Linked DNA regions of Tribolium castaneum. Each later gene encodes a partner of the first gene's protein in a complex. Links are inferred from orthologs where the notes say so. Each region holds a gene or a part of one and is shown on either strand. Other genes may lie near its edges.

Evidence for each region. The genes of interacting proteins can lie anywhere in the genome.
Region 2: Usp39 (region 1) and peptidyl-prolyl cis-trans isomerase H share a complex: the UniProt entries of both Homo sapiens proteins name them as parts of the U4/U6-U5 tri-snRNP complex. The link is inferred for Tribolium castaneum from reciprocal best matches to the Homo sapiens genes USP39 and PPIH.

Annotation. Positions count from the first base shown.
Region 1 is NC_087394.1:36,569,833-36,573,563, reverse strand, and holds Usp39 (ubiquitin carboxyl-terminal hydrolase 39), read left to right. Parts: upstream 1-893; 5' UTR 894-1,037; coding exon 1,038-1,113; intron 1,114-1,160; coding exon 1,161-1,199; intron 1,200-1,250; coding exon 1,251-1,511; intron 1,512-1,821; exon of another isoform or gene 1,822-2,065; intron 2,066-2,526; coding exon 2,527-3,656; 3' UTR 3,657-3,686; downstream 3,687-3,731. Other genes in the region: facilitated trehalose transporter Tret1, read left to right, coding at 1-866.
Region 2 is NC_087395.1:17,966,428-17,968,961, forward strand, and holds peptidyl-prolyl cis-trans isomerase H, read right to left. Parts: upstream 1,431-2,534; 5' UTR 1,352-1,430; coding exon 1,268-1,351; intron 1,222-1,267; coding exon 1,045-1,221; intron 1,000-1,044; coding exon 706-999; 3' UTR 661-705; downstream 1-660. Other genes in the region: G-patch domain and KOW motifs-containing protein, read right to left, coding at 1-164, 215-405, 457-590; peptidoglycan-recognition protein 2, read right to left, coding at 1,485-1,675, 1,726-1,844, 1,890-2,109, 2,159-2,216. UniProt on the Homo sapiens protein: PPIase that catalyzes the cis-trans isomerization of proline imidic peptide bonds in oligopeptides and may therefore assist protein folding. Participates in pre-mRNA splicing.

The DNA of each region.
Region 1 (3,731 bases):
GGATGCCGGAAAGTCCGTACTATTTGTTAATGCGTGGGAGGGCGGACGAGGCCCGGAAATCACTAGAACGCCTCAAAAAACGCGAAAATGTCTCCGGGGATTTGAACCGAATCCGGAACGCAATCCAGGCTGAGGAAAAGTCGCACAATGGGAAATTCGTCGACTTGTTCCGGGTGAAGAGCAACCGGAAGGCCGTTTTCATCATCGGGGGGCTCCGGGGCTTCCAGCAATTGGCGGGGACCACGGCTATTGCCTTCTACACCCATGAGATTTTCCAAACTGCTGGGGACCACATTTCCGCACATTACGCTGTGATGATTTACTACTCCATCCAGTTGCTCCTCACAATGTTCTCCTCGAGTATTGTGGATAAGGCCGGTCGAAGACCACTGTTGATCATCTCAATGGCGGGGTCGGCGTTAGCCCTTTTTGTCGAAGGGACCTATTTTTATCTTTTGAACGAAACGGACATTGATACGAGCTCATTTTCGATCGTGGCCGTTGTGGGGCTTCTAGCTTTTGTGATAATTTTCAGTTTAGGGATGCAGTCAATCCCGATTTGTATGTTAGGGGAGTTGTTTCCCACAAATGTGAAAGCTTTTGCGCTTTGTTTGGCCGATGTTTACTTCAGTGTGATGGCCACAGTGGCCTCCAAGTACTTACAAATAACTAAAGTAGAATACGGACTACATGTCTCGTTTTACGGTTTCGGGATTTGTTCGCTACTTGGACTAGTTTTTATTTATTTCTTTGTGCCTGAAACGAAAGGAAAAACCCTCGAAGACATCCAGAAAAAACTGAGAGGGGAAGTCGAAGTTTGTGATGAACGAGGCGCCGAAGAAGAGAAAGTTAGTCTCAAAGCGTAATTTTATTGAATAAAGTACTTATTTTTTTACAATTTCGAATTTTATTGCATAACCAGATTGACATTATTATTGACACCGTTGACAGTAAATATAACCTTAAAGTTGCAAACACCACACAAAAACAGTCCTAGCGTGATTTAATCAAAAATTAATTAAAAAAGCGTGAATACGATGGAAGCGGACGATGAACCTGCCATGAAAAAGCCCAAGTTCGAGGAGCCCCAAGCCAAATCAAACTCCTCACAACGTAAGTACACATAACCTCGAAAACGCAACTGAAACGTTCAATTTTAGCCGAAATTGAGCCCCCTTCTGACAATTCGGACCGGAAAGGTACAAAAATCAATCGATTAAAGCGCCCTGTTCTATTATTGTCTATTCCAGGTGGGAAGCCCCAAACGCATCGACTGTGCCCCTATTTGGACACAATCAACCGGCAATATCTCGACTTTGATTTCGAAAAATTGTGCTCAGTGTCGTTGACTCGCATCAACGTTTATGCCTGTCTTGTTTGCGGAAAATATTTCCAAGGTAGAGGCACAAACACACATGCTTATACGCATTCGGTGGCCGAAGGCCACCACGTTTTCCTCAACTTGCACACCTTGAAGTTTTACTGCTTGCCCGACAATTATGAAATAATAGGTAATAAATACTCTCAATTGTAGTTTTGAAATTAAGTTGGCAACATTTTTCTTCAAATTTCAACAATTTTACCCAACTCACTTGATTCGAGCTGAAGTTTTACACCGAATTAGATTAAATCGTTTCAATAACGCGAATGTTTGAGAGGGCGCAATGCCAGTAACGCCCCCCTTCAAAAATAAAGTGAAATCTTCGTTTTGTCGCATTTTTCCGATTGGCATTTTATTGAATATCGTTTTGTATGCGTTTTCAACCGAAACTAACTCGAATTAAACCGAGTAATCGTGGAAAAAATACAAAAATGACTAACCTTAGCGTCGTCTAACTGAATTTTTTCAAAACCGGCTTCCAGCTTGCTGCTAACACACTTTGATAGTCTACACACGTCACATTTCCGATAAAAAGTCGATTTGAGTCGTTTTTGCCACTTAACACGCACAAAACACCGGTTTTTCAACACGCAAAAGCAAAAGGACGCGCACTTCGGCAGACAAGCTTCACTCTAACGCTGATGTCACGCCAACGGCACCTCATTGGCTGATTTGAAAATGACACTTGAGCGCGCGTGATTTGAAATTCGCGCGAAGTCTTCAATTGGGAGACTTTTTACAAAGATTAGGATTTATACGTTTTTACAATGTCATAATTCACGAATTTTGTAAAATAAATGCCTGTTTAGCTCAAAAACATGCATAATGGCTTAAAAAAAAAGGAAAAATGAGATAATTTGTGGCCTGATTTGGTAATTTTGCGGCTTGTTTGGCATTTCTGCCTGAAATAACAAGTTGGGATCTTCGGAAAAGACAAACATTATGTAATTATTGAATCCGTTTGGTGGTTTTTCGGTTAATTTTTGTGTTTTTTGTCTATTTTCGATAATCGTGTTGTCAATTTCTGAATTGAAAAAAGCAAATACTAGGAAATGTTCGGGGAAGTATTCGGTTTCAGTAATCAGTGTTGCCACTTAATTTCAAGCTCCAACGATTTTTTTCTAACAAAATTAAATTACTCACAGATTCGTCCCTCGACGACATTAAATACCTGCTCAACCCCACATTTACCGAACAACACATCAGTACATTGGACGTTAGCACAAAAATGTCCCGAGCAATTGATGGCCTACTTTACATGCCAGGAATCGTCGGTTTAAACAACATAAAAGCGAACGATTACTGTAATGTTGTTTTACAAGCCCTTTCACGTGTTGTCCCTTTACGTAATTACTTCCTCCGTGAGGAGAACTACAGCAAGATAAAACGCCCCCCAGGTGACTCCTCTTACCTCCTGGTGCAACGTTACGGTGAACTGATGCGTAAATTATGGAACCCCCGAAATTTCAAAGCCCACGTTTCGCCGCACGAAATGCTCCAAGCTGTGGTTTTGTGGAGCAAAAAGCGCTTCCAAATTACGGCACAAGGCGACCCCATTGATTTCCTTTCGTGGTTTTTGAACGCACTTCATCGGGCACTTAACGGCAATAAAAAGAAAAACAGTTCCATCATTTACCAGTCATTCCTCGGAAACATGAAAATTTACACCAGGAAAATACCACCGACCGAGCTTGACGACAGACAGAAACGCATGCTTTTGTCAACTCCAGAGTACCAGGAGATCATCACCGAGTCACCCTTCTTGTACCTCACCTGCGACTTGCCTCCACCGCCTCTCTTCATCGACGAGTTCCGGGAGAATATCATCCCCCAGGTGAACTTGTACCAGCTCCTCACCAAGTTCAACGGACAGACCGAGAAGGAGTACAAGACTTACAAGGAGAATTTCCTCAAGAAGTTTGAGATTACGCGTTTGCCGCCTTATTTAATCTTGTATATTAAGAGGTTTACGAAGAACACGTTCTACGTGGAGAAGAATCCAACCATTGTGAATTTTCCGGTTAGGAATGTTGATTTTGGCGAGTTTTTGACGCCCGAAGTTAAGGCCAAACATAAACATACGGTCTATGATCTAGTGGCGAATATTGTGCATGATGGAGAGCCGGGGAAAGGCACTTACAGGGTTCATATTTTGCAAAAATCAACGGGCAAGTGGTACGAGATGCAGGACTTGCATGTGACGGATATTTTGCCGCAGATGATTACGCTGACGGAGGCTTATATACAAATTTATGAGCTAAGATTAGAAAAGTAATTTTTTACGAATAAAATTCTATCACCGGAATTTTTGTCTTTTATTTGTCCCTCCCTGATTTTTTTCTGTAATGAA
Region 2 (2,534 bases), on another chromosome or scaffold:
CCAATTCATGCCACGTAACATCGCCATACCAAAATCTGTAATTGGTACACTTTCGTAGTCGTCGAGAGACGACTCCTGTGCCCCCTCTGCCACAAACTTGTCGTCATTTAAAGGCAAGGAGTAGACTTTTGTCTCGCTTTGTACAGTGTTGCGAGTCTGTGCCTCTGAAAATTTTATTCACACTAGAAAATCACTTGAAACATAGGGTAAGTACCTCGGATTAACTCTCTTGCCGCTAATTCGTCAAGAGATAGGGCAGAGTCTGGCACAGAATTTGCCTCCCCTGTCTCTTCTTTAACTTCAGGTTTGACGTGTTTTTCCCTCGCTTTTTTTATTTGGTCTATTAATTTGTTTGATGGGCCTTGGATTGGTATCACCAACGGCTCATTTGTCTCCTCAACGGCACTAAAATGAGGTTTTTGGCAAAAATAACATAACCTCAAAAACGAAACATACCCTTTTATTTTAATTGATTGACCCTCTAAACAGTCAATTAGCTGTATCTTATTTTCGGGTTTCGGAACACTTGACCTGATTTCGGTCTTTTTACTAATTTTGCTGAAACCGAACGATATTTTTTTATTTTCCATTTCACGATTATTTACGTTTTTGACAAGTGAGGTTATGGGACCACCAACCTGACAAAATAAAAATTTAAACTAAGTTTTATTTTGTGCTTTTATTATTAAAATTTGAATTACACTACTACATTTGGCCACATTGTACAATTGTGACCGGGATTTTGGGCTTATTGTTGGGCCCCGTGGGCACGTTTTCGATTTTCCGCATGACGAGAAGTCCGTCAATAACGCGTCCAAACACCACATGTTTGCCGTCCAGGAAATTACACTTTGCACAAGTTATGAAAAACTGGCAACCGTTGGTGTCTTTGCCGCTGTTTGCCATTGATAGAAGTCCAGGACCGTCATGTCTTAGGTTAAAATTTTCGTCGGGAAACGTTCCGCCCCCATATATACTCATAACGCCGGTCCCATCGCCCTAAAAATATTAATTAGTTGCGGAATCGCATCCCGTGATTTTTACATTGACGAAGTCGCCCCCTTGGATCATAAAGTCCTTGATAACTCGGTGGAAACTAGCCCCCTTGTAGCCCAACGGCACGCCGTCTTTGCGGAACTCGCCGGTGCAAAACTGGCGGAAATTATCGCTGGTTTTGGGGACCGCGTCTGCGAATAACTCGAAAATCATTCGGCCGATTTCCTGTAATCGAAAAATACAGTTTTCGGAAATTTTGGGTTATTGGTACCGTAGTTCCGACGGAAATGTCGAAAAACACGACCGGGTTCGCTGGGTGCTTCAACTGGGCTTGAATTTGGTCCCAATTCGGCATTTTTACGGTTTTTAGTTCCCTAACCTCGAATAATCAAAACAACATAACCTCAAACTTGCGACTAATGGGCGCCATATTTAAATTCAAAATCGTATGCTTTATAATAATTTTATTTTAAAAACTAGAATACAGTTTATTTCGGCGGGGACCTGGTAAAGTGCGGCCAGTTCTGTAGTTCGCGGTACAGCTTTAGGCCCGGACTTTCCGTCGCGCTGACTTGGCGGGCCCCAAACAGTTTGAAACTTTTGCCCAACTCTCCCAACTCAACCCCGCATTGGAGAAAATCTTTAGCGGCTTGTATCTGCTTTTTATTTGGAAGTTGAGCTGTAATAAAAGGCTCGTAAAGTACGAAAATAACACGAAAAACAACCTACTCGTGTAATTGCCGATGAAACCGAGCCCCAAAGACCGGGAGTTGTACCCACGTGTGTGCGCCCCCACTTTGTGCCAACCTGCGCCCTCGTAAATCTGGCCGTCACCACCCACTAAAAAACTAAACCATAATTAAAAAAAAAAAAACAAAAATCATCAAATTTACTTGTATCCAATATCGTGAAAATCTAGATTTTCCATGTGAAAATTCTGAATGTTTCGCAAAATCGCCGCACATTCTTCCTCAGTGCTGCAAGTGTTGGTCACCGTGTGGTGCACGACCACGTTTTCGACAGGGATTAGGGCGTAATCCACTTCCAAAGCAGTGCGAGCCCCCCATCTAGTGCGACTCACGATTTCGGGGCACACTGCCGGCAAGTTTGACTCTGGAAACACCTCATTTAGCAATGGATGGGGTTTGAGCGGTGGTTTTACCTGTTCGAGCCAGAATTTGGTGCAAAATTGAGAAAATAATCACGAACTTTCGTCCCATATTCAACTTTGCCTTGTATGCAAAATTAAAATTATTTATTTAATTAGCACGTCCTTTAATGGAACAACACGAGTAACCTTCGAGATGATAAACTTCTGCATTTATATACGGTGACCTGTGGGGTCTATGACTTTATCTTCTTGTTATGGTTTTTATCTCTGGGTTGTGGGGATTCCCGATCAGGGACTTCACCAACGGTGACTAAAGTTAAATAAAAACAAGAGCAACGAATTTAATTTTATTTTTGTGCTGGATTTTGCAGTCTTCTTAGACGTCCTTATCACTATCAGTTCTTATCATGTTTTATTAAATCATAAC